3 linked regions of the Arabidopsis thaliana genome follow. The protein of the gene in region 2 interacts with the protein of the main gene of each other region in a pairwise test. Each region holds a gene or a part of one and is shown on either strand. Other genes may lie near its edges.

The links. The genes of interacting proteins can lie anywhere in the genome.
Region 1: the proteins of MYB74 (region 2) and AT3G48510 interact in a two-hybrid assay, tested with the Arabidopsis thaliana proteins (one large-scale study listed by BioGRID).
Region 3: the proteins of MYB74 (region 2) and SEN1 interact in a two-hybrid assay, tested with the Arabidopsis thaliana proteins (one large-scale study listed by BioGRID).

Annotation. Positions count from the first base shown.
Region 1 is NC_003074.8:17,964,550-17,970,248, reverse strand, and holds AT3G48510 (AtIII18x5-like protein), read left to right. Parts: upstream 1-1,658; 5' UTR 1,659-1,796; coding exon 1,797-2,681; 3' UTR 2,682-2,895; downstream 2,896-5,699. Other genes in the region: PDE312 (Nucleic acid-binding, OB-fold-like protein), read right to left, coding at 4,841-5,258, 5,329-5,480.
Region 2 is NC_003075.7:2,614,018-2,622,700, reverse strand, and holds MYB74 (myb domain protein 74), read right to left. Parts: upstream 4,330-8,683; 5' UTR 4,145-4,329; coding exon 4,009-4,144; intron 3,917-4,008; coding exon 3,787-3,916; intron 3,620-3,786; coding exon 2,911-3,619; 3' UTR 2,754-2,910; downstream 1-2,753. Other genes in the region: AT4G05097 (uncharacterized protein), read right to left, coding at 8,138-8,279, 8,306-8,385, 8,477-8,683; AT4G05095 (non-LTR retrolelement reverse transcriptase), read left to right, coding at 8,487-8,683. UniProt on the Arabidopsis thaliana protein: Probable transcription factor that may function in salt stress response.
Region 3 is NC_003075.7:16,943,192-16,949,045, reverse strand, and holds SEN1 (Rhodanese/Cell cycle control phosphatase superfamily protein), read right to left. Parts: upstream 4,169-5,854; 5' UTR 3,974-4,168; coding exon 3,822-3,973; intron 3,730-3,821; coding exon 3,533-3,729; coding exon of another isoform or gene 3,513-3,532; exon of another isoform or gene 3,443-3,512; coding exon 3,372-3,442; coding exon of another isoform or gene 3,327-3,371; exon of another isoform or gene 3,272-3,326; coding exon 3,218-3,271; coding exon of another isoform or gene 3,206-3,217; exon of another isoform or gene 3,138-3,205; coding exon 3,063-3,137; 3' UTR 2,805-3,062; downstream 1-2,804. Other genes in the region: STY17 (ACT-like protein tyrosine kinase family protein), read left to right, coding at 89-139, 366-538, 619-726, 919-992, 1,203-1,378, 1,539-1,634, 1,704-1,784, 1,898-1,951 and 2 more; LTO1 (NAD(P)H dehydrogenase (quinone)s), read left to right, coding at 4,424-4,522, 4,599-4,884, 5,165-5,421, 5,518-5,630, 5,781-5,854.

The sequences.
Region 1 (5,699 bases), on a different chromosome or scaffold from region 2:
GAGTTTTACAAAGCTAAAGCTGGCGATTAACAAGATAATCCTAGAAACTAAGCCGACGGATAACAAAAAATCTTTGGAGACTAAGATTTTGGTTTGAACTCTTATGAGATGTTTATTATTCTACCCAAAAAAATAGACTTCAAACAGATTGAATAATGTCTTTTTGAGAATGTTTTTAGCTCATCAGAAATTTAAAATGGTTTGGACAGTAATATGTATCTGACGCATATAGAAGATTGAAACTAATTACCATCTCTTGAGAAAACAAAGTTACACAATCAAACTCTTTGTTTGGCATAGGTCCACTGGCCTAAATTTTTTCTTTGTTCCCATTTGCAAAAATTAGATTCGAACTCGTAAAACATATATATCAAGTCGCTAATAGCCATTAAACTCATTTACTGGTCAAACTATAACTGTTATTTGTCAAATCCGTTATTGTTTGAATATGTCTATCCTCAAAAGAAGATCTCGAAGCAGAAGCTCAAGTAAAATTTATATATGTATTATGAATGTATCCAAGTTTTGTCCATAAGAATTCCTCTAATATTAATAGCTAAATTAAGGAAACACCTATAAACCAGATATAGATGATTATACTTGTTATAATCATTTACTATAGATAGGTACAATAGGAGTATATTTGATTAATCAATATTCCTTCTTGATATTTCAATAACGATTACCTAACTCCATTGGCACTAATCTTTATTTTTGTCACCAAATCTTTAAGTTCATTTACGCATGAGATCATCTTGTCCCCTTTCAGATCTAATTTGTCACAATCACTTTAAATTTAATTAAGATGCCATTCGCTTTAAATTTAGACTTGGTCAATGATTATAATTATAATCGATCGACTCATCACCTTTTGAGTCGTGTGACTCGTGCGTATAAAAACCATTTTTGTTGTCAGATATTTTAACTTGATTTTGCCATCTCTTCACTATTGTTACATCAGTAAATCGCTTCGTAAGTGGAGATTAATTTGCAAATTTTGGAACTAATTACTGACCAGTGATCCACTCTATATATGGTTGTATTAGTACTTGATTGGCAAATAACAAAAAAAAAACTTAAATAAAAAAACTGTGTTATTCTTAAATTTATAGTATATGGATTAGTTTTAAGAGTGTGGTTGGGAAATATACGAAAGTCCAAGAATCTTATTAGTTCGTTCACAATTGTATAGGGATGTTGTCACTAATTTTAACCAAATTATACCTTTTTATCTTTTTGCCTAACATTTTTTTGACGTTGCCCCAAAACGAAGCAATGAGTTGAGGGTTAGTGGTAAAAATAATCAAAAAGATTATATGCATAGATTTATGTGAAGTTAACCAAAAAAAAAACTCGACCCAAAATACATAATCTTCAACAAGAACTATGTTTTCTTCTTGCAACAAGAACTATCACTCCTGTCATAGCATAGACCAAACTTTTTTTTCTCCTACACTAATATATAAAGTTACAGTTCTTTTTACTGAACGGTAAAATTAATGGTTAGAGTTGGGAGAATAACTTAGGCAAAAAAACAAAAAGAGAGAATAACTTTCCATGTGCAACCCAAACCCTTTACTACTGTCTTCTAGACCCAACACAACCACAAGCGTGCAGGCAAAGACACGTGTCCATGTCACAACTAGTATAGACTCCAACACGTGTCCAGATCACAGACGTTATAAAACCCTTACCATTTCTGTTCAGTGTATTCCTCAGCTCAAGTAAAGCTTTTACCTAATTCTCAAACATTCTTTACACAAAAATATCAAGAGTGATATAGATAGCGAGAAAAAATGGACGGTAGGGGAGGGTGTTGCATAGCTAGGTACGCCATTGGCTCTGGACCGTACGATCTTTCCAAAGCAGATCGCATCATGCTTCGATTTCGTCCCATTGCTCCTAAACCGGCCAGCCCCGGCGGAGTAAATCCCGTATCCAGCGGAGATAGCGGCGGCGGAAGCTCCGACGTTTCCTTTAGATCAGCTAGTAGAAGAAAGAGGAAATGTCATCAGCTGAAGGAGAATGGTGGTAACGCCAAGAGGTGCACCCGGCGGAAGACGTCGGATAAACCCGTCGTTCACGGCAGTGCTAATGCGGTGACTCTTTCTCTATTACCGGAGAAACCTATAGATCTTAAGGCGGCGGTGGAGAAGCAGAAGCGGCAGGGTCCGTTATGGTTGAGTTTCAAAGACGGCGGAGGGATGCTCACACCGGCTTATCAGACACCGGAGATTGTGCAGAGGACGGTGGTGATTTCGTCGTGTATGACGGTGGAGCGTGTAACGGACGCTTGGATTGACGGTTACGGTTTAGGGAGGTCAGATGAAGAAAGGAAGATGAATCTTGTGAGAGACACGTGTCCTGGTTTCATATCCGACGGTTCAGGGAGAGTCACGTGGACTAATGACGCGTATCGGAAGATGGCTAGGGATATTATTCCCGTGGAAGAAGGTGCACCGGAGATAACTAGCGGCGATAGTTTTCACGTGATCGTACGGTTGGTGATGAGGGAGAGGCCGATGCTAACGTCCCCTGGATTCACATGCAGAATGAAACTCCAGTACACGTGTCAAAATCGTGAGAGAGGCTCAGTCACGGTGCCTTGCGACGTGTGGAGAATGGACGTCGGTGGTGGTTTTGCTTGGAGGCTCGACGTTAAGGCCGCTTTGTGCCTTTGACACCGTTAGATCAACTTTAGTCACTATGGGCACGAACATTACACATGATATGTCCTCCAATGATAAAATATGGATTCAGAACTAATTAGATTTCTAATGGTTTAACATATATTTATGTCGTTTTTGTTCTTATGCCTTCTTTGTTTTTGGTTGTTTTTTAAATAGTTTTTTATTTAAGAATTTTTGTAAAAAATGCATCTTTCTTTTGTTTGTTCTTGACGCATTTGTGATGCTAAATTTCAAGCTTGTTGCTTAAAAATAATTAATGAAGGAAAATTTTGTAAGTATTTAATGCGTATCGTCGGTGCGGTTCCCACCTATATTGGACGCATGTTGTGAGATTTCACGGCAAGGACGGTTGGAAATTACGGTCCGAGTGATCGTCCAAACATGCAAATTCCAAAATGGTCCAAAAAATGTGAAACATACCATCTTGATTGCTACAAAAAAGTGTGAGCGAACCGGTCTTACTTTGAGCTAGTTACTCACTTGAAGAGATATTTCAGTCGAACTCATCACATTTTGATTTTGATATTTTCTTTTCTTTTGTCGGCACTCACGTTTTGAGGAAACAAGGAATATAAGAAAGTAAACGACCCAATAAACGTGATACGTCGGAGCAAAAGAAAACAAAAAAGGAGGGTGAGGAATAAATGTTGTACTACAGCTTTGAATGTACTACAGTCTACCTGCGGTAAAAGTGCGATATCTAATGATACGTGGGACATCTATATATCATCTATGCCATAATAGAAATGCCACATGGACCAATGTTTAACTATGTGTAGCTGTGTTTTTGGAACTTAAACATCAGTTCCATTTTTTGACAAAAAAAGAAGAAGACGTCAGATTCAAAACATTCAAATCAACGGTGTGTACCAAATTCCAAATCGTTAAGTTAATGAGAAACTGATTTTACCATCTCCGGATAAGAAATAGCGCTACAAGACTAAAATCAAAGACATTGTATGATACTATAATCGAGTTTTTAAGGGTCAAATGAATAGTGTTTAGCCGGGGACTTTTCTTTTATAAATTGTTTTTTAGAATCTTTTTGAATTTATTTTTCGTTATATATAATCAAATTAATCAAAACATAAATAAATTAAGAGTTTTAAATAGCAATACAAGTCTACCTACATTGGACATAAATTGTATAATAATTTAGTTAAGAATTTTAAGGAGACTTTTCTTTTGTAAATTGTTTGTTAGAATCTTTTAGTATTACTTAATCTTCCGTTACTATTGTTAATGACCTAACTGATCAGAAGCGGAGTACTGAGACGTTGCAAACACCATCCTTAAACCGTAAACAATATGTATGAAGATTGTTTTTGGTTGTATAAAATAAAACAAGTCAACGGACGATTTAAACAGAATAATAAAATTGGGCCGAAGCTTATTAGCCTTTTAAGGCCCACAAAGAAGAGCGAAAACCCTTAACGAGCATATACAACTCGGAGCACCTCTTTTCTCTCGCTCTCTTCCTCTTCAAGGTTTATATTTATAACTTCTTTTGCTGCTCTCAACGAACTCTTCCAGGCTAATAAACCGTCTCTGTTTTCATCTTCTCCGTAGCTGAGATAGCTCCATACCCTCTCCGACCCAAGTAAACTGATTTTCCATGTTATGGAGATTTGGTTCTCTAACTTATTGCTTTAGAGTTTTGATGTCATTGTACAAGTTTAATGCTATTATTTTTGTGAATTAGGTACAACCTTGCAGAGTAGCTTTGGTAAGAGTTTGCCTTAAGAGTTTTGTCATCAAAGAGCACACATGGTGTGAAGTTTTTGGTATACACGGAGAGATGACAAGGGTTTTTGATATTCCAGGTACGAACGAGAAAGCCTTTTGATAGAAGTTGATGTTTTGGAGCCCAAACAGAAGAAACAAGAGAAACATTTAGGCGTATTTTGCGGTGTCAAGACTACCTTCTCTGACGACGATTGATAGAAAAAACAAAAAACGTCACGTTCCTAACGTTCAACGGTGTACTACAAGATCCCAAACGTCTGGCTAAGTTAATAAGAAACTGATTTTACTATCTCCGGGATAAGAAGAAATGAAAAAAAAAAACTATCAAATAGATCAAACCTAACAGACAAAAATTCAAATAAATCAACCTCGACAATTTCTTATTTTTACTTTCCTTTTAAACATCAGTCTGTCAAGACTTGAGTACCGTTAACAAGAGGTTGCTGTTCCGAGTAACCGATACTGCTCTCATCACTCAGAATGCTATAGTCAAAATCGTCAAAATCATCGTCATCCTCTTCTTCTTCCTCTGACTCTGTTTCTTCTTCTTGACTCGCCAAGGTAGACCCTTCTTTTCTTTTCTCTATTGTCTGCTTAATCGCATCATCGTAAGACATGTCATACCACACATTGCCTTTCCCAACAATGGATTTGTTGTGTGCATCCTTCATTCTCTCTTGCTTGCTAATCTCTGAGTTCTTTGGCTCTCCCCAGTAGTCATACTGATATAATGCACTTGTTGGATCGTACTGGTCTTTCCCAAAGAAGCTTCCTGGCTTGTACCTCCCTGGTTCCTCCAATGGTAAACCAAGTGCTTGCCGACTGCAAAATAAATCTTCTTCATCTAAACACTTTCTTTGAAAAACATCAAAGTGAACTTTTTTTTACTTACGAGCTGATATCTCTGAGCAATGCTTCTCTTTCCTCCAAAGATCGGCGCCAGTGTAAGAAATCATACTCGTCCATCTCTATATTTCGTCTGAGCTTGTCAATTTTGTATCCTTCTCCTCTTGCTTTAGCTTCCATCATTAGTTTATTGTGGTGCTGCACAAGACAACAGGAGAGTATTGAGTTATTAACCACTATCAGTATAAAAGATTCATACAACAATGTGTCAATTACAAAGTGCAAAGCCTTAAAATGGAACTGTGACGACAATCGGAGTTACCAAGACAGTGTGAAGTGGAAATCTATTAAAAATAAACAAATACAAACGAGAATATTTCCGTAGCAGTGGGTTAAAGGAAATTGGTGACGACAAGT
Region 2 (8,683 bases):
TAATAATAATGTCTACAAACAACACCAACAGTTTTGATACAGTAAACTATGATAATTATATTCAAACAAAGAACAAATATGAATTTAAGCAAAAAAATATTAAAAATATATTATAAGGAAATGTTTTATGTTTTACATATAATATATATGTAGTTGATACATTTATACAATTATTAATTTACGATATTGATGGGACCATATATTTACATAAAACTTTCAAAACAATTATTATCATATTAATTTATCGTTTGTGTCACTTTTTACACTGGTTCCAACTTAAGACCGGAAAAATTTATTAATTTATAGAAGTTATTAATTTATAGAGTATTAATTTATAGAGGTTATACTGTATAATATTAAAAGTTGGCCAATAACAATTAAGGAAATTATTTTTAAGGGTGCCTAAAACATATGAAAGATTTTAATTTTTCTTGTTAAAACTTGCTAATAATTTATTGTTATAAGCTTTTATTATAGTCTCTTATTATAGTCCTGGAAATTTGATGTTTAGAAAAAAGTATACTATGACGACAGTGTTTTAAAGTTTCCAAAAAAATCGATAAAAATCTCGCTCAAACTGAAAATCGTGATGAATAGTGACATTTGACAAGTTTCAACATTCAGTAAAAATTGCTAACAAAAGATATTAAAAATAAAATCAAATGTGGTAACATTGTAAATATATGCTAACATAATCCTATACTATTATTGGGAAATACATAATAAAATAACCATATTTTTTGTAAGTAATTACATAGGTATGCAATTAAAAATAAAATTTCAAAGAGTAAAATAATTCATCTTTTTAAATATTAAAAAGTCAAATACTAATTTAATTAATTAAATTTAATTAAAAAACAAAATACATTTTTAATTTCTAAAAAAGTAACCAATCAAAATCAACATATAAGATTTGATATCCAAATTTTAATTAATTTAATTTAATTAGACAAACGAAATACATTATTAATTTCCAAAAAAAATAACTAATTAAAATCAACAAATTAGATTTGATATCTAAATTATCATATTAATTTTTTATTAATTATTATAGTTCATCTCTCATCTTTATATGATTCTATTTTTGCGAAAAAATAATATTATTGTTATAAAAGAATAATTAGCTTTTCGCATGTGCCATGATTTATATTTTTAAAAACGAATATAAACTGTTCAATACATGAAAAAATATTATAACAGGTCAAAAATAGATTTTAGAAAACTTTCTACTAAGTAACGGGTTATAATTTAAATATTTATATTCAATTTCATACATATTATTTTGAAAATTTATAATCTTATATACTATAATAATTAATAACATATTAGATTTTTTTATGTGTATGATGTGATTCAATTTTTAATACAAGCTTGAAAATCTTAGAATTGACGGGTTTAAATCAATATTAATACAAGATGGTAATTATAGGTGAAACTCTAAAATTAACAATTAAATACAAGTGTATAATCTTAAATACTGAACAATATAAATAATATCAACAAAAATATACAACTAGCAGTTTACTATACATTTAAAATCCATAAAATAATATTATATATTTATAAATCACTTTTACAATAAAAAATTTTAGTTTAACTAAAATATAAGAGTATCTACGGTATACCGCACGTTTATATCTAATTACGTATATATAAAAAAGAAACAACTCAACTAACCCACTTACGTTTCCGTCAATTCAAAAATAAAACTATATATTTTACCAAAAAAAAGTAAAGAAAAAAAAAAGTAAAACTAGATATATACAATTTATTCTAGTTGCAAATTAAGCATTCAAAATTGGCAAGATATGTAATTGTTTAATTTCGTTAAGACTCTTAGCATTAAAACCAAAGAAAATAATATGAAATTTCTCTTACTAAACAAGTTTTTATTTAATGAAAAAAACAAGGTTTATTTAATTACCACAATAATTTATTCTTATAAAAAATGTTGACTCTATACGTAATAAAAGATCCACTGGAAAAACCGAACAAGGGGTCAAAACAAACAGCTCATCCCAAAAAATGCCGACGTTCGTGTTTACACATGCTGCTTTGTCCCCACGCGTCCCCACTCTCAGTTGGCTCTCCGTACAACACGTGTTAAAGGTGATTAATTAACACAAACCGTGATTTCAATTAAAACGAGCTTTTTCTTTCAACTTTTTCCTTACGTTTTCCACTTATTGCTTTCGTGTCGTACAAGTGGCGTCTGGTCATTAGATTGTGTCCCGTGATCTGACCCCAATTGCACACGTACGCTACCATACCACGTGTACTTCTAGTTCACGCTCCGGCCAGTCTCGCCGGATTCCGGTTAGTAAATTCGTAAGACTTCTCTGGTGGTCAAAATAGAAAGTTTTTCGTGCATTTTGATTGGTTCTAGTGAAATTGTGCAAATTTTTGATTGACTTAATGGCCCACTTCCATTTCAAAACATTTGTTATTAGTATTGTTTTGGTTCATAAATTATCATTAGTTTATTTCTTCAGAGAAACAAGAGATAATAAGTCAATGATATAATTATTCACTATCAATTATTTATCTACCTTTCTATTTCGATAACATTTCAGCACCATGTATGATATCAATTATAGTATATATCTTCGAATCATATTTTAATATGATCGTTGATACGATCTCCATGCATTTATGTAGAAGAAAAGCCGACCACAAATATTAAACAAAAGAGTAGATAGATACCAATAATAGAAACTCCATCATTAAAACAATGTTATGAGCTGAGCTTTATATTGTTTACTGGTGGGATGTTGCTTTCCCCTTGACGAATATACTTTAGTAATAAATATTTTAAAACTATAGTATTTTGGATTTTGGATATGTAACAAAATCTATATAACAAATACAATGATTGCATGTTTACATAACTCTATTCCAATGGCGTTTTGTTTATTGGAATTGGAGAAAACCATTAACATCAAACGAATAATTAGTGATATTATCACTGTAATAACTCTCTTTTTCATCCTCGGTGCTGCAAGTGCTACTATTGATGTAAGTTGAGGAACTTGAGTTTAACGGAGTCGGGCTTGAAGAAGGTGTGGTCAAGACTGAAGCAAAGTCGGAGTAATAAGGTTCTAATACAAAATTGGACTTCGAACAATCATCATCGTATGACAATGAATTTTGGACCGTCGTCTTCATTGGCATGAGGTCTTGGAAATTCGTGAATTGATCCATGATAGGGAACCAAGATTGTAATTCTTCATTACCAGGCATGTTGTAACCGGTTTGGTATTGGTTTACTTCGGTTTGGTTAACCGTGTTGTTCTCGTGTGTGTTGTTGGGGTGGTTTTGGTTTGAAAAGAGAGAGGTTGCGAGTTTGAGTATCTCGGGGTTAACCAATGGTTGATGATTACCATCACTCATCATGAGCCTCGACATGTTCATATGTTGTTGATGATGATGATGATGATGATGCGAAGAGTTGTAGATAGATGAGCTGAGAATGGAGGAGATATCGAGAAGATCAAGACGTGGAGTGTGTGTAACCGGGTCGATTCCCATCTTTAGAAGTCTTTTTCTGATGTGAGTGTTCCAATAGTTTTTGATCTCGTTGTCTGTTCTTCCAGGCAAACGAGCCGCAATCGCAGACCACCTATACGAAAGCAAACAAAGTTAGAATCTGATGCATTGTAGATTTAACATAAATCACTAGTAACATCATTCAAAGCTATGACTCTAAGACTAATCTACAAGATTAGTAGTTTTCGTATAAACTACGTAATGGCAAAAATATAAAATTATTGAAAAGTTCAAACTCACTTGTTTCCCATGATGCTGTGAAGTTGAATAATGGTTTCTTCTTCTTCAAAAGAGAATCTTCCACGCTTAATATCTGGTCGGAGATAGTTGGTCCACCGGAGACGACAACTCTTACCACATCTTTGTAACCCTATAGTCAAGATTCAAGCAAAACTTTAAAAAGACAATTCACGAATAAAAAAAGTATGATTAAAATGTAATAATGAAGATACGTATACTAACCAGCATTCTTGGGAAGAGTTCTCCAATTTCCATAACCATGTATATTGATATAATCAATGAGCTTTTGATCCTCCTCAGGAGTCCATGGTCCTTTCTTGAGACCATTCTTCTTCTCACAACATGGTGATCGTCCCATCTTTTTGATTAATTGTTAACCGATCGATGAAGTCAAATGTTTTTAAAAAAATATAGTGATTGAATTATGAGGAAACAGAGAGTAGAGAGAAAGAGAGAGACGTAGGGTCCTTAAAGAGAGGTACGAAATATATATAGGAAAGAGATGAGACTCTTATCATATGGGGAAAAAAGGTGAAGTCAAATTGATTCGGTGCCGTCCTCTGTTCATCGATTGGGCTACGTGTCCTTTATAATCCCAAAATTTGTTTTTTCCAAAAAGTTTTTTTTGGATGTATACATACTATATATTAATGTTTTTTCCTACACCTTATTGTGAATTATGATAATGGCTAAAACTCTAGTAACAAAGCTGGCCACTAAATAACTTAATTTGGTTTTTGTTTGTAAGTATTTTTGTAAGTCATTTATGTTTTAAGTTAATTATAACTATGCATGCATGTGAATCTAGTGTGACACTTCGGTACAAATCTTGTAATTTGGGTAACCAAAAATATTTTTCATAACTTAGATAGTATAGAAACCATTTATACATTCTTCTTGTTGATTTTTTTTTTTTTTTTGAATATCAAGAGATTCTGGATCGAAGCATTTCTCTAGGCCTGAAACCATAGCATGTAATTTTTGTTCCAAGCGTCACTCAAATAGACATCTCTAAGCTTTGCCTAAATTTTTTACCAATTGAGCTAACGACACTTGATTCTTCTCGTTGATATTAATAAGAAAAATATCGTCAATCCAACTAATACCCTAGTTTCGAGTGATATGTTTCAAATTAACTATTTTTAATTGATTAGGAGTTTCATAATTTATAAGAGTCTCTATAATAGTATATAGTCTATTCAACTAGAAAATTGATAAATTCTGTTTTAATATTGTTAATAAAGACGGTAGACAAATGTACGTATGATATGAAACACGTGATTTTGGGGAGTTTTGTAGTGTTAAACACTGTATAGATTAATGTATAAACTTGTGTGATGATACTTAAGACTTAACTAATCAATTGATAAATATGATAATTAACAATGCAATCACAATCTAAAGAGACATGGACGTCGTCGAGGAGTGTCGCTCTCCGTAGCTTTTGGCTGTTTTCACATTAGCTGTCGCCAAAGTTATGATGCCACGTACTCTCTCTTTCCTCACAATTCAACCCTTCTGCTTTGTTTTTTCCTTTGGACTTTTTTGCAAAAACAAAACATATACAATGGATAAAATTTGTAAAACTATCAGAATACTGTTTGGTAACATAACTTTTAAAATTAATTTTGATTTTTACGTGAAAAGTATTTAACAAATTAACGCAGGTTCACACACACCAAGTTTTATAAAAGATTCTGGATTCATCTAATATCAAATTTTAAATAAATAACATATTTTCGTATAATAGTTTTTTTTGGGTAAATTTCAATAAAAACTACAATTGCAATTTTTATTAATGTTATAAAAACGACATTACCAACCTATAAATTCGTGAGTTTGATGTATAAGAAAATAGATAAATAAATGTTCAAGTATTAAATACATACACAGCAAATTTAGCTGTTCCTCTCTGTCTCTCTCTCTATCCCATCAAACTTTCTCAAGAAAAAAATGAAGACCAATCTTTTGGACTTATTAGCTTTTTCTACGTGAGATTTTGAATACATGATTGTGAATTTGTGATGCTTCCAAATTCCATTTGAAATTTTTGATTTTGAGTTATATATATATATATATATATCTTATTATTCATTGGGTGGCTTTATAATCATTTTGAAGTAAATATAAATGTGAGAAGAAAATTGATTGATACATTTTGCATGGCGTGACGTCAGATAGATTATCACTCTTATAGGAACCACGAGTTGTGCAACTCATCTTCCCTTTCGTGTTTCGACACTTTACATTTAATTACAACTAATAAAAATGGATTTTATTAACTAATTAAGTACTTTTTTGATCTCCTAAGAATTTGAATATATGAGTAGCTAAAACTCTAGAACAAACTAATTATAGTTAATGAATATTTGGATTCTATATTATTGGCGCATATGGCCTTATTATATATGCATAGTTTCAGGCAAACAAAAATTCATTCGAATATTCCAACAAACAAAAGCATCCAAGTAATAAAAATACATAAACAAAAGCAGCTAGTTTATAGACAAAATCTTCAAATAATCAGGAAGGACGACGATATAGATTGGTGATTAATATATTAGTAGTGATCGAATCATTGTCACATTTATGCTATTATAATACTATAGTTAAATATAAGTACATTAGGTTAATGTCTCGTTCCTTGCGGTTCAAGAATCTGTCGGGTTTAACGACAAATGAAAACTCCGCAAAGTGCGAAATTATGTGAATGAATAAGTATATTAGTTGATAAGAAAAAGGAGAATAAAATTTCATCACTTTATCAAATAAATAAATAAAAGAATACAGGATTAAAATAACTAAAAAAAAAAATTAGAAGATAGCTAGTGATGCTATATTAGGGTAGTAACTTGTCAAACATCTAGAGGCTTTGCTTGCGCATGAATTTGCCACAAAGAGCAGCAGCCTACGTGTTACTAGTTACTACATAGTTGACCATATCTTATTTGTTGATAATGTTTGAGCCTTTTCATGAATTAAATATGTTTCATGGATATTGGATCTGTATATCACTATGGATAAATCACTTAGAGCTCGATTGATTTAAACGTAATAGAAACATGTGCAATTGCAATTGCAAGAATTTGCAAAAACAGATGGGTTTTCACACATTTTGGATCTAAATTTATAGAAACATACGTGACTTCGTATATGTGAATCAAATTGAAGATATATTTGTAGGTCAATTTTCACTTTCTAGGTAATAATAGTACAAAAATTTATTAATTTAGAGAGGTATTAATTTATCGATAAATTAATAATTATTAATTTATGGAGAGATTTTAAAAAATTTGTAATTTTTTACAAAAATTTAATCCAAAAGGTAGTTCCTCTCTACAATCAATAATTTTTCTAAAAATCAATTACAAGTATAAAACCATTATTAGGTTTAAAAAAAAAATCTTTTTTATACGTAGTAAAATTATTAGAATTGAATTTTACAAAGAATTAATATAAATTGAAGAAAAACAATACTAAAGTCATATTTTACTAAGTTTTACATAATATATATTCATAAATATAAATATATATATATATATATATATTCATAAATTTATACAATTATTAATTTATAATATTGATGGGACCATATATTTACATAAAATTTTCAAAATAATTATTATCTTATTAATTTATCGATTTGTATCAATTTTTATAGTGGTCCCAACTCGGGACCGGAAGAATTTATTAATTTATAGAGGTTATTAATTTATCGAGTATTAATTTATAGAGGTTTTACTGTATGTGGGCAATAATAGTATGTAGCCACATACTATATATATATATATACACGATACTTGCCTAATTTTTCTTAATATAAAATATGATTGATTAGTATGTATGTTAAAATAAATCGAGTCACGTACGTAGAGATTATCGTCGCATTATTCCAGATTTTGATACGTCAGAAACGAGCCATTTGAATTCTAAATAGTTGAAAGACAAAGACCAAGAGTCCACACACACATACGTAATTATGTATATAACATTTATTTATGTATAGAAAATTACAATACATATGCGAGTGCGATACGATATCGGAATTAATAGTTGTGGAGTTGATGTGCCACATAGTAAAGTAGCTATATCTATATAGAATATTTGAATTATTAAACTTAGTGGTTTCTATTCTTGGAGGTTTCATAATAGAGGTGTGTTAATGATATTAAAATAACGAAATAGAATTTAGCTCTGGTAGTTGGATTTGAATCCGTACAACTCTGGGAGTTGGATTTGGAAGCGGTTGAGTAAGCTTCGTAGTCTGGCGAGACTTTTTTTGGTGTGTGAAGTGGGTTTGGCTATTACGGCTAGTTTCTGGTACGATAATTAGACTGGTTTGGGTTCTCTTTTAAATCTCACGAGTCCTTTGGGTCTTCAGGTGATAGGTCTGCCAAAAAAGGCGGTGGTAAGAGACGCAATTTCTGGTGATAGGTGGAGGGTTATGGGTTCTAGAAGTCGTAATCCCATCATCTCCTTGATCAAAGCACGCCCTGCCTAGTTGCAATGATATCATTACCTATGAAGTCGATCAAAGACCTCCTTCTCACTCTTTCTCCTCTGCTCTGACTTGGCAAGCGCTTCACCCTTCTGGCCGTCCTGTTGTGTGGCATAAGTCGGTTTGGTTTAAGGACCATATTCCAAAGCACGCATTCATTACTTGGGTTACTGCTTAGAATCGGCTTCATACTAGAGACTGCATGAGGAGGTGGGGTCTCTCTATTCCTTCGGATTGTGTCCTTTGCTCTGGAAATGCTGAATTTAGAGAGCACTTGTTCTTTGGATGTGGTGTCAGTTTTGCGGTTTGGGGTAACTTCATGTTTAGAGCAAGCTTAACTCCTCCGCTTCTCTTTATGGACTGCCTCACTTGGGTCTTATCTCCTTCTCGTGATCCTAA
Region 3 (5,854 bases), about 14 Mb from region 2:
AAATGACTTCGAAAGATATTGACCATTGATGACCTTTCTGCCCCTGCCATCTAAACTGGTTGCAACTTTATACACTTTTGAAATACAGGAAACAGAAGGTTTAAAAGATGCATTGAAGAAGGAGATAAGAAAGTTTAAGGTATCTTTTGTTAGTCTATTGTCATGAGCATTCCTTATCTTCATGAGATTCCTTATATTAGACTCCATGCCACATTCATAATTTAAATTCCGAAAGTGCAAGTAATGGTTTAGAATTAGCTCACTCCGAAACTGAATGCACCACTGTACTGATGTTTTTTTTGCTATGTTTTGAATCAATTTTGATAGTCGTCATGTCTCCATATTCCACACTGGCTGCTCTGCAGGATCAACCTTGTTCAAAACAGAAATCTATCACTTTCTTTGAGCATGACAAATCAACCAACGAGCTGCTACCTGCGTGTGTTGAAATACCTACGGATGGAACTGATGAGTGGGAAATTGACATGAAGCAGCTCAAAATTGAAAAAAAGGTGGCATGTGGATCATACGGGGAACTGTGAGTTTTCATATTCAAAAATCTTGTTTTTAATACTATATGAGGAAATTAACAGCTATATATTCTTAATGGCTATGCAGATTTAGAGGAACCTATTGTAGTCAGGAAGTAGCTATCAAAATTCTCAAGCCTGAGCGTGTTAATGCGGAAATGCTACGAGAGTTTTCTCAGGAAGTATATATAATGAGGTGTGCTGCAATTTGATTCTAATTGCAACTCGTACTCTTATAGTATATGTATTCTAATAAATCTCCAAAAATTCCATTTCATGGTGTATACGTAGAAACATGCATGAGTTTCCCTCATTTTCTAACAACCAGTGTCCATTGAACAAAGTTAATATTCAGAAACATCCACTACTGATACTTCCCTATTTGTAGGAAAGTTCGGCATAAAAATGTTGTCCAGTTCATTGGTGCATGTACACGATCACCAAACCTCTGCATTGTGACAGGTAAGTTGTCAGTAGATTATGAATAGGAGACTGGTTCCATCTAGATCGTTTTTTTTGTTGGTTTTGTATCTTCAAGCGTGGTGAGAAAGTTGTTTCAGCAGGACATTGAGGTTCTATAGAGTATTGTTTAGTAAATACCGTAACATTTCATTTCCTAGTTTTGGCCTTTACATGTATTCATGGTCGGATGATTTTATCCTTTTGTATCAGAGTTCATGACTCGGGGGAGCATTTATGATTTCCTTCACAAACACAAAGGGGTTTTTAAAATTCAATCTTTGCTCAAAGTGGCACTCGACGTCTCGAAAGGAATGAATTATCTGCATCAAAACAATATTATTCATAGAGACCTTAAGACTGCTAATCTTCTTATGGACGAACATGAAGTAAGTCTCAATCTTTGGCCACTGATCATGTAGTCTTTTCAGCTTGTAAACCTTTAAAATTCTACAAAAAACTTAATTTCCTCTTTCCGTCTCCACAAAATTCTTTTAATCTTCTTAGAACAGAGGTACATGTCTTTAATTTCTACATAATTTTGGACAGGTTGTCAAAGTTGCCGATTTTGGTGTTGCCAGAGTGCAGACTGAGTCAGGGGTTATGACAGCGGAAACAGGGACATACCGATGGATGGCTCCAGAGGTATTACTTCTTTGTCTTGTTCTTTTTTTTGACTTTCCATGCTTTTGACACTAGACTCTGTGAACCCAGGTCATTGAGCACAAACCTTATGATCACAGGGCAGATGTCTTCAGCTACGCGATTGTGCTGTGGGAACTTTTGACTGGGGAAGTAAGACTCCTAGTTTTCTCTCTCTGGATTTTAGTCGAAAGTTGCTAAACTCAGTAAATCTCATGTGTTTAACACACTTTTTTTTCTTACTGGTGTATAATGAATGAAAACAGCTCCCATATTCTTACTTGACTCCACTGCAAGCTGCTGTTGGCGTTGTCCAAAAGGTATCATGTCTATAGGACTTTATAGTTATTTTTCTCGTGCTTTGATTAACGGCCTTCAACACAATGACTTGTAATTAATTTACAGGGACTTAGACCAAAAATTCCAAAGGAAACACACCCAAAACTGACTGAACTTCTTGAGAAATGCTGGCAGCAAGACCCAGCTCTAAGACCCAATTTTGCAGAAATCATAGAAATGCTTAACCAACTAATCCGCGAGGTAATTGATTTATCATTGCATCTCTCTCTCTAACCAACACGATTCTTAGCATTAATATGTTTTGAAACCACCAGGTTGGAGATGATGAGCGCCACAAGGATAAACATGGTGGTTACTTTTCAGGCCTAAAAAAAGGCCATCGTTGACTCTCTCGGGTGCGCTGAAAAATTTGGTTTGATCGGTTTGATAGAGCTCTACTCACTTCTCGTTTTTTCGTTGTACAGTTTCTTAGAGCCTCACTCTTTTTGTCCATGTATAATTTTCTTAAAAAACAATCTCCTTTTGATACAATTATCACTGCAGAGATTGATTTGGATTGCAACTCAATAAAGTGAAAGCCATTCTTTTGAAGCCATTCTTAAGAGCGGCTACGGATTTCTTTGTTAATCAAAGCAAGTAATCATATTAACTGATCGTAAACGATTCAGATACAGAAACACCTGTGTTGAGATTGATATTAGTTTTCATAATATTAGTTTCGGTTCCTTTCGGTTTGATCTTGTCCATGTATAAATATGTTTTTCTATCATTTTATAAATTTAACACTTAAACTTAAAGAATAATAATTTAAAACCAATTTAAAACTTAAATTTTAAGAAAGTAATTAATAATTTTTAACTAAAATAATGTTAATTTCACTATTATCATTTAAAAATTAGTTTAAGTATTAAAATTTTAAAACGGCGAAAACTAAACGTGTGTAGGCATGCATCCCCGTCCTTAATTGGTCCGTAAACTTTGTGGTGTTCGAAGTTCGGTAAAGCTTTCACCCAATATAGATTTGACAGTTAAACTATGTTTTAGAGAATAATAATGATGATTGATACTTGCGTTGAGAACATCTACAGAATTTATTGATAATTACAGGAGGTGATATGGCTATGATTGTTTTCACTCTTCTACCGGCAGCTCATTCTCTGTCCAAGCGACGTATCCTCCAGCAATGTCTGTGATCGCCGTGAAGCCCTGTACATGTGGCGACATTAAACCCGCTTGTCCTAAACCGGATAACGGCTATATAAATTGAAGTGATATTACACACATACAGCAGTGAGAAGATCAGTTGAGGCCATAAATGACATTTGACCGCTCTCACAACCCTGCAGAAGTAGTTTATTACGTGCATCAGAGATTTTGTGAAACAAGGGATTGTCTTCATAGGGGTTTATTTAGTCTCTGAATGTCAAAACTGAAACTTACGATTATGATTTCATCGTGTTTCCTGAAGTGGGACGAGACCTGTCTTAGAAAACTCGGGTTCTTAACCATTCCTGCAACGGTTTTGGCTTGGTGTTAGTTTTAAGTTGTTTTTCATTTTCACTCTTTCTCATAAGAGGAACCTTAAGGTCGGTGATGAAAACCTGATCCGACTCTGTACATGTAAGGTACGTTGATGGCTCTAGTCGGATGTCCGATGCTGAATTCGTCTGGTGTCCTCACGTCGAGATAGCGGTATCCTGCTTGAGCTAGCTCACGCGCCACTCTTACTGGTACTGACGTAGGAATTTTAACTGCCTCTGCTGCAACATTTCCTCTGCTTGTTGTCGTTGCTTTCCTCCTTGAGCAAGAAGTTAATACTCAGATTTAATATTTATTCATAATCTAAAATCAGATAGAGAAGGCGATTCTCGTCGTTGATTGCTAGCTTACCATCGGAAGTTTGAGTTTCGAAGATCAGCTACAATAACACCTCTTCGTGTTGGTAATTGGCACTTGAAAGATCCACATGTTTGTAGAGGTGGAGAAATAGCCGATGACCAGTTTCCAATTCGTGATGTTGTGTTAAAAGCAGTGGTTTCCATTTTCACTTCTTCTTTGAAACTTCTTTTAGAATGCTTTGATGCTACTTAGATACTTCTTCTCTTAGTTCTATAGCGTTTATATAATACATACAGACACAAAGGTATGGGTGTCACGTCAGCAAGTTTTATGTCCGATCTTCGAGTCTCTATCATTTCTATGGATAAATTCAATTATGTACCAAAGTCGATTCCAAAATGTAAACAATGCGTAGATAATGAATCATGATAAGTCCAACTCGGTGCCTCGTGAGTCGTGTTGAAGAGGATAACTTGCTGACTCGGACGGATAAGAAGACCGTAAGGCCCAATTGTGATAAACTAATTATGGATCCAAATTATCGTATTTGGGCCTCGTTTAGGCCCAATATTGAAACAAGTGGCTGAGATAGTGGAGCGGAGGAGAGAAGATGATGAAGTTAACAATGGTGGAATAGCGATTCTTCGACGACGATGATGGCGAGGTTTGTTTCTGTGTCGTCTTGTCAGTTTCATTTCGGCTTCCGTGAGGTTTCTCCTCCGTCGGTAACTTCTTATCCTAGACGATTCGAGGTAAATTCTTGTCATGTGTTTTCTTCAGTGACAGTAGTGTGTGATCGGTCATTTGAAGTCAGATGTTCTGAATTAGGTCTCTGATCGGAGATTTCCTGCGATTCCGATTAAATGTTCTTCATCTGAGCCGGAAAACGGTGAGGATTCGGCACCGTCGCTGTCTTCCTCCTCCTCATCGTCTACAAGTGAAGTATCTACTAGTAACAGTTCGACATACAACTGGTACACCGGAATCGGCGGTATTGGGATGTTAGACACTGCGTATTTGACTTACCTCAAGGTCACTGGCTCCGATGCGTTTTGCCCTATTGGTGGTGGCACTTGCGGTGATGTCCTCAACAGCGATTATGCCGTCGTTTTCGGTATTATCCATCGCTTTATTGATTATAGCGTTTGATTTATGTAGCTAATTGTCCTCTCTTTTATAGTAGGCATGATTAAATACTCGCATGTGATAGTCTCTGTGAATCTTTGCTTGAAGCTATATCATTTAGGAGCTTTGGTACTTAGTATGCATAGAATTGTTAGAGTTAAATAGCATGCTTCACTCCACTCTATGTAGTGCTTTGTCTTCGTTGTTTGTCCAACATTGCATTGCAGGTAAGTTGAACTCAATGAAAATCCTTTTTTACATTTTGCCAGGTGTTCCTCTTCCAGTGATTGGATTTGTTATGTATGGCGTAGTAACCGCTCTAAGTGCAGAGCTTGGGGAAGGGAATCTACCTTTTGGAATCAGTAAGAGCAATGGGCGTTTCGCGTTATTTGGGATCACGACTGCAATGGCATCTGCTAGTGCATATTTCCTGTATATCCTTAGCACAAAACTCTCAGGATCATCATGCCTGTATTGTCTGGTGTCTGCTTTCTTATCATTTAGTCTATTTTTCCTCTCTGTAAAGGTATCCCTTTATTTCCATTTCTTTTTTTTTCCTGATGTTGACTCAAGATAACTTCTAAACTTCGGATTATGATAATGTGCTCCATGCATGTGGTAGGATGTGAAGTTGCAAGAAATACAGCAAGTTGTAGGATTGCAGATATGCTTAGCAATCATAGTAGTTGCCTCCTTGACTGCTTCTTACAGTACTGCTCAACCAATCCCTTCACGGTAATCAAAGTTCATAGTTTTCTTTGGGGAGTCCCGATAGAAATTTTAGTCATTTGTAACGAGTAGTGAACAAATAGCTTCCGAAAGATGTATGAGTCTTATCAGGTGGTCTCTTTTAATCCCGATCGTTTTTTGTTTCACTCCTTCCAGCTCTGGTGACATTGAACTGCCATATTTTAGAACAGAGATCAGTTCATCATCGAGCCCTTATGCTATTGCTTTAG